Linked DNA regions of Mus musculus. The protein of the gene in region 1 binds, or shares a complex with, the protein of each later gene. Links are inferred from orthologs where the notes say so. Each region holds a gene or a part of one and is shown in the gene's direction. Other genes may lie near its edges.

Region 1 (3,812 bases):
TCAGGCAGGCAATGCACAGCTGCTGCTTCAGACATCTGTGGGACACACCCTTGGCTCTAGGACTGGTTCCTTATTCCTTGGGGGCAGTTATTTTCTAATTAACTCCCGAAGCACATTGATTTCCCTAAGAGCATGGGATGTCTGTGTGTGGTATGTAGGGGTGTGTGTGTGTGTGCGTCTTTGTATATCATATGTATTTGTGTGTGTGTGTCTGTGTGGGGTGTTGGGGGTGTATGTCTGTCTGTGTGTCTATATGCTGCATGTCTGTGTGTTTTATCTGTATGTCTGTGTCTGTTTGTGTGTATCATGTGTCTGTGTGTGTCTATGTCTGTTGTGTGAGTGTGTGTGTGTGTGTGTGTGTGTGTGTGTGTGTGATATGTGCATATCATGTGTATTTGTGTGTGTGTATGTCAGGTGTGTGTCTGTGCGCGATCCCCATTTTCCCGTCCTGGGTCTACTGACTGCTACCGAGCCTTGTTTGCTGCCTGACCCCCAGGCTGCTATCCAACATCTCTCTCTTCCTGTGCACATCTCTCTCTTCCTGTGCTCTCTCTCCAGGACGCCCCGTACTTAGACCTGGCTCCGTACATGCCTGACTATTATAAACCTCAGTACCTGCTGGACTTTGAAGACCGCCTTCCTAGCTCAGTCCACGGTTCAGACAGCCTCTCCCTAAACTCCTTCAATTCTGTCACCTCCACCAACCTGGAATGGGACGACAGTGCAATTGCCCCATCTAGCGAGGGTAAGTGGCCCTGGGGTGAAAGGAACCAGGCCTGTGCCCTGAAACATTCCCTGGAGCCTCCTAAGCCCGACTGAGCATGACTGAGCCCCACTGAGCATGACTGAGCCCCACTGAGCATGACTGAGCCCGACTGAACCCAACTGAGCCCCACTGAGCCCGACTGAGCATGACTGAGCCCCACTGAGCATGACTGAGCCCGACTGAACCCAGCTGAGCCCAACTGAGCATGACTGAGCCCCACTGAGCCCCACTGAGCCCGACTGAGCCTGACTGAACCCAACTGAGCATGACTGAGCCTGACTGAGCCCCACTGAGCCCCACTGAGCCCGACTGAGCCTGACTAAACCCGACTGAGCCCCACTGAGCCCCACTGAGCCTGACTGAGCCTGACTGAACCCAACTGAGCATGACTGAGCCCGACTGAGCCCGACTGAGCCCCACTGAGCATGACTGAGCCCCCACTGAGCCCGACACCCGACTGAGCATGCCTGCTCCCTCCCAGTTGAACAGAGCTGACCATTTCCAAGATCGTCATTTCCTTGGTTTCTGTGGTAGCTAAAAAACATCGGTCGGGTTTTATGAGCCTTACTAACTTCTCCAGAAGTTTCTAACCTCATGCCCGGGTCAAGGAGAGATGTGCAGCAGTGTGCCCTGAAACTCTTGCCTGAGTCCTGGCTGAGCATCAGCTGCCTGGGGAGGGGTGCCCTGCAGCAGGTTCTACAGAGAGGCTGAGCAAGCTCAGGAGAGACAGACAGGTGGTCTGAGGGGGGCAGAACCAGCACAGTTTCTTGGGCAGTCCCTGCTAGTGTCCCTCCATGGGTCAGAGAGGGCTGCACCTGTCCTGAGACTGAGGAGCCATAGGCGGACGGACCCCTTCATCTCAGATCAGTTGCTAGAAAACCCTGGCTTGCCGGGCGGTTGGTGGCACACGCCTTTAATCCCAGCACTTGGGAGGCAGAGGCAGGTGGATTTCTGAGTTTGAGGCCAGCCTGGTCTACAGAGTGAGTTCCAGGACATCCAGGGCTACACAGAGAAACCCTGTCTCGAAAAAAAAAAAAAAAAACAAAAAAAAAAAAACAAAAAAAAAAAAGAAAAGAAAAGAAAAGAAAAGAAAAGAAAAGAAAAGAAAAGAAAAGAAAACCCTGGCTTTCCCCAGACCTTAGGTCTTTGCCCCACTTTGGTGAGATCAAAGACGCCCTCACTCACTCGGCCTCACCTCTGGGGGTCACCTCTGGGGGTCAGGGGGTCAGATACTCAGTTCTTCTGGCCTTGCTCCCTTGAGACCTGACCTTCCCCATTCTTTGTTCTGCTGTGCCATGGGTCATATGCCCAACTTTGAGACTTGCTGTGAGTAAGATCTGCATTGCAGGAGCTAGCAGTGTAGCTCAGGGGGCAGAACGCTGGTCTAGTGTGTATGAAGCTCTGGGTTCAAACCCCAGCGTTGCACAAACCCAGGCTTGGGGCCAGTGAGATGGCCTAGTGGCTAAAAATCACACCAGGCAAGCCTGACCACGTGACGCTGGTCCCGGGAACCCACCATGTAAGGAGAGAAGTGGCTTTTGAAGCTTGTCCTCTGATTTACATACACACACAGACACACACACACACACACACCATGATAGGGGAAGATACCTGCCATCTCAGCACTTGGGAGGTAGAATCAAGAGGATCAGAAATTCGAAGTCTTTCTCTACTATGTAGCAAGTTCAAGATCAGCCTGTGCTTCATGAAAAGGTTTCAAAAATTTAGTAATAAAAAGACTTGCACTGCTTATTTGCATATGGAACAAGGGAAGAGGACATTCAGACTCTGGCTGGGCCTCATGGGCTACCCTAGAGGAGGAGTCAGAGGGACAAACCTTGAAGAAGCAACCAGGCCACCCATGAATAAAGGTCCCCGCTAAGCCCAGCGATTTATACTGTCTAACTCAAGGCAGAAGGACAGGACCTTGTTTCCACAAGAGCCATGGAGGGAAGGAAGGCAAGAAGTAGAAACTCAGACTCTTTTCTGCCAGAGCAGGCTCTGAGTTGGGAAGGAGTGGCCCTCAGGGCAGCCGAGGTCATAGTTGCAAGTTAGAGAATATGTACTGAGTTCCTCTCCGTCTCTTCTCCTGTGTCTCCCGCCCTCCGCCCCGACGTCCCTCCCTCCACTGCCTGTTTCTAACCCTGAGTTTTATCCCTCGTTTTTATAGATTATGATTTTGGAGATGTGTTTCCAGCAGTGCCGTCTGTACCCAGCACAGACTGGGAAGGTGGGACAGAGTCCTCTGTGACCCTCTTTTCCTGTTTGCAACGTTGCCATGCCAAGCTTGCTGCATGTTTCAGAATCAGCTCCTTATTTCTTATAACAATGTCCGTGGTCATAACGACGCCACAGCTGGTGTTGGAGTAGGTGGAATTCTGCAGTAGGAAACTTGGCCCTTAGCTCTTCTCTCAGAAGTTTTTGCTTTCCCACGGGAGCCTTGGAAGTTACTAGTGAGTGTGGCACACACACTAGGCCACCTGCCCGATTCCAGTCCTTGTCATTGTAAAACAGTGTATGTCAGTGGCCTGGCTCGGTGAAGTGGAAACTTATTCTAGAAAAGTGATGCTTTGAGATACAGGGATTGTGAGCAATCTACCCTGTGAGTATCCAGGAGGAAGATGGAGGCTTGGTCCTTTCAGGCAATCCCTAATGGACTGAGGAAACTGCCCAGGCATAACTAAAATGCCCTACAGGGAGAGCCAGCAAGGTGGCTTGGCAAGCAAAGGCGCTTGGCATCAAGCATGGCCACATGAATTCTATCCCTGGAAGCCACAAGTGGGAGGAGAGAACTGACTTCCCCAAGCCAGCCTCTGACCTCTGCATGCACACACACACGCACGCGCGCACACACACACACAGCATCCTCTGACCTCTGCACACACACAGCATCCTCTAACCTCTGCATACACACACAGCATGCCCTGTCCCATTAATAAGTCAATATGGAGGTTCTCTTAGATTCTTACTGTCTACTGAACATCAATATTGTGGAGACATTTTTCTACCAGCAACCCATGTCTGGGTTTGGACAAATTCACACTCC
Region 2 (3,912 bases), on another chromosome or scaffold:
GCTAACAAAGAAAGCATCCATTAAGTTAGAGATTTACAAATATGAAGCAGAAATCAACTGGGGAAGTTGGGGCAGCCAGCTGGAGTTCCTTTTTAAAAATATATTTTCAGTTAAAATATAATTCCATCATTTCCCCCTCGCCCCAGGCACACCATCCTTCAAAGTCCAAACCACTTCACTGTCCTTCCCCATTCAGGGTCTTTTCCTGGAATGTGCTTCTACCAAACGTCAGCCTGCTTCTCCTTCTCACTTCCCTCAAGCCTTTCCACTCAGGACCACCTGACTTAAAGACAAGCAGGCCGGCTCCAGCTTCTTCTCTGTTCCTCTTCTTTATAGTGTTAAGTACCACGTGGCATTTTCTCGTTTGTTTGCTGTATATGTTCTGTTCTCCACACTGGACTGTAACCCGCAGGAGGGCAGGGATTTTGCTGTCACTAATGTTTTGCTGTGTTAGAAACAAACCCTGTGTCTTTCACATGCTGGGAAAGAAATTTTCCCTATTAATTAATTCATTTATTTATTCACTTTACATTCGGATCACTGCCTCTGCCCCATCCTCCCTTGAGCCCTAGTTAGACCCAGAGTGCTCCATACAGGCCAGGCAAGCATTCTACCACTGGGTTACATCCCCATCCCAGATTCTGATTTTTTTTTTTTTTTATTCCGTGTTCAATTCCTCCGAGTATTAACTTTTTCCTTCAGGGTACATTGCCAATGAACAATTATAGGAAAATTCAATCAAAAAGTGAACGAGGACCAACTCTTTGTTTTTTTTTAAAGATTATTATTATTTATGTGTTTCGTTGTGGGAGTATGCGCATATGTTTGCAGAATGTACAAGGTCAGAAAGCCCTAGATCTGGATCCCCCAGAGTTGAAGTTACAGGCTGATGAGGGCTGCCAGGTGTGGGTGCTGGGTCCTGAACTTGGGTCTTCTGAAAGAGCCTCAAGCACTTTTAACCACCGAGTCATTTCTGTAACCCCACCTTCTGTGTTTATTGAACTCTTGATCCTCCTGCCTCCACCTCTCAAGTACTGAAATTGTTGACATGCGTTTGCTGGGAGACCCATAATTTGGGGGGAAAAAAAAAAAGAAAGAAAGAAAAGAAAAGAGGAAAGGCATGTGACAAGTGAATTGGCACCAAGGCGAGGGAAGGGTGTGTCGTGGGATTCACCATCAGGTGGCGATGTCGCCGGAGGGCGCTGGGAGTCTACGGGACCGCGCCGCTCTTTCCGTGCGCTTCCGCGCCTGCGCTGGGCCAGGCGTGGGGGGGGTAGGGCGAGTCATATGACCCGCTGGGCTTCCTGGCTCCGGCCGTCGCTGCCGCCAGCCTCTGTCTGCCCGCGTCGCGCCAGGGGCCCCGCCGAAGAGCCGTTGGCGGGTTCGGGGCCGATACCCGCTCGTGGGAAAGAGTGTCCGCTGTCGTCCGCGCCCGTCCACGCTCGCAGCCGGCCGCCGCCATGCTGGCGCTCATCTCCCGCCTGCTGGACTGGTTCCGTTCGCTCTTCTGGAAGGAGGAGATGGAACTGACGCTCGTGGGGCTGCAGTACTCCGGCAAGACCACCTTCGTCAATGTCATCGCGGTGAGCAGCCCTCTGCGGGCGGCCTGGCCGGCGTCTCGCGCCTGTCACCTCCCCGAAGGCCGGGCCGGGCGATCCTGCGTGTGTGGGCCTCGGAGTTGTAGCCGGAGGGTCGGCAGCAGGAGGGTCAATTCCACGTTGCGTTTTGGTGGTGGTGGTGGGGGCTGTGCCTTTAACACGGCCTGGAAAGGGTTAATCCGAGTCTGCCACACTTGCTGCCTTTCGGGCCGTAGAGGCTGAAGGGTTAATTCCAACCTGTCACTTGTTCACCCGGACGGGTGAGCCTGGCCTTTTCCAGAACGCCTGCGAAGGGGACGCCTCTCCTAAGTCTCCACTTGGGACGATGGAGTCGCATTGTGAAAGCAGGCAACCCGTGTGGGCGCTTCTGTGAATGCCAGGGGGAGCCTCGGCGCCTCCAGTTCGCTTGGTCTTTGTCACTTGTCCATGGAGCGTCGGAGAGCAAACTGATGACCTAGCTTACTGGGGGAAGCTGTTGGAGAGACCATTCAGATCCCAGTATTTTCTAAGACAGGGAGCAAGGGCGAGGCGAGTCTCGGTTTCTCCACAGCTGATTGTGTTAAACGGGTAGATAGATGGATCTGCATTCAACATAAAGTTTGCAGGCTTTGGTCTTTAGAGAGATTTTTTTTTTTCTTCCCTCTTGCAGAAGGAATTTGTTTGGATTGGGACGTAGCTTATGGAGGCTCAGGGAAGTTGCCTAGTAAATATAATGTGAATTCGGTGGGAGAGTGGTCGTTGAGTTTTGCGTCTTTGATTGGTTGGGAAAGGAATGGGCGTGAATGTCAGTCTTTGGAGCCAAGGAGTCATTGCACAGTTTTAGGGCTGTACTTAGAGGGTTGAGCTTTACAATTGTTCTGATGAGAAGTGGCGGCAGTTCCTAGACCTTCAAGAGGATTGTTGCAATCCTCACACAGGAGACAGCTGAGCTGCCCGACTGGTTTGGCTACACACTGCCCTGGGAAAACCTAGGTAACGTGTGACTCAGTCCCTGTAGTAATAGAGCAACAGGCGTCAGAGAGAGGAGCGGAGGCTCAAATCTCTTTCGAAGATGGCTGAATATATAAGTGTAAGGAAACTTTCCCGAACTTCATGTTAGGCTCTTTCTATGTTGCCTCTACCCCGACCCCAAGAGAACAAGGCAGAACAGACTTTAGACTCTTTCATACTAGAACTTTTCTACAGGCTTCAAGCTGTTCATTTTCTGTTACCCTAGATAAGAATTGGAGTTTCCTCGGGACTCCTGTCCCTTGGGCAAGATCGAAATGGTACACGTGGGTGTGTTGGGATGGCCAGTTGTATTTGCTGCGGAGGAGTTAATGCAAGGACCTGCACCAATGAGTAGGATTTAAGAGATGTACTGCTTACTCTCATGCCTGTATTATCACTGGGCAGTGTAGCTTGATATATATAACAAGCCTGAACTTTTATGCCATGCAGTTCTGGATTTGCAATCTGGATCTTAGCAGCCTTGGGTCTGGTTGAGTCGATTTCTGTTTTCTTGTCTATGAAGTGCAGATAACAATAGAGTCCTTAGCAGAGTTGCTCTGAGGTCTAACCAGGAGGAGGAGGGAAGTGTTAACATGTAGATGGCTGTACTACCCAAAGCAGGCACAAGGAGATACGTTGAGAAAGGACTGAGCCGGGCTCATTTCCTTTGACTCTCAGGCCAGTGTTGTCTACGGTTGCAGATTTATGGCTTGTGGGAAGGAAGCACCTTCAACCCCCCTTCCTTTTGAGTTAGATTCTTTGTAACAACTATCCAATCTCAGCAGTGCTGTCGACCTCCTGCTATCAATATTACACTATTCTTTATGAATTATGGTGGTGTAGGTGAGCTGTTAAAGATCACCCAAAAAAAGAGAGGCCATGTTTAACTTACTTTAGCCATTACAGATTCTGTATATATCATAAAACTTTACACTACCCCCCCCCCATACACACATACATAATTATGGTCTGTCAATTAAAAATGTTAACGTCCAAGACTTGGTGATGCTTACCCGTAATTCCAGCATTAAGGAGGCGAGGCAGGATGATGCTTCCAAGTTTGAGGGTCTGCCTGATGTTGTACACCTACATAACAAGTACCAGACCTGGCAGGGCTACACCGTAAGGAACCCCACCCAACACACCCGGAATAAAAATAATTTCGGGAAAGAAGAAAAAAGGCTGGACTGTAAGTACTCGATGGGGGTTTAAAATGCTGAGAAAGAGGCTGACTCCTTAGACACTACCAGCTTATCTTGTTTCTCTCTTTCATCTAGTCTTTGTTCTTTTGAGACAGAGTTTCACTCTGTGGTCCTCTGACCTT

Evidence for each region.
Region 2: the proteins of Plekhm2 (region 1) and Arl8b are in contact, whole or in part, in a crystal structure (PDB 8JCA), measured with the Homo sapiens proteins. The link is inferred for Mus musculus from reciprocal best matches to the Homo sapiens genes PLEKHM2 and ARL8B. Residues at the interface, in NP_055979.2 of Homo sapiens: His70, Phe71, Thr72, Arg73, Arg74, Glu75, Glu103, Ser105, Glu107, Ser108, Tyr109, Arg111, Leu112, Glu115, Glu147, Phe148; in NP_060654.1 of Homo sapiens: Glu22, Thr52, Val53, Gly54, Phe55, Asn56, Met57, Lys68, Trp70, Arg77, Phe78, Arg84, Tyr85, Arg87, Gly88, Val89.

Annotation. Positions count from the first base shown.
Region 1 is NC_000070.6:141,636,609-141,640,420, reverse strand, and holds part of Plekhm2 (pleckstrin homology domain-containing family M member 2), read left to right. Parts: intron 1-558; coding exon 559-745; intron 746-2,936; coding exon 2,937-2,996; intron 2,997-3,812. UniProt on the Homo sapiens protein: Plays a role in lysosomes movement and localization at the cell periphery acting as an effector of ARL8B.
Region 2 is NC_000072.6:108,781,795-108,785,706, forward strand, and holds the start of Arl8b (ADP-ribosylation factor-like protein 8B), read left to right. Parts: upstream 1-1,264; 5' UTR 1,265-1,460; coding exon 1,461-1,583; intron 1,584-3,912. UniProt on the Homo sapiens protein: Small GTPase which cycles between active GTP-bound and inactive GDP-bound states.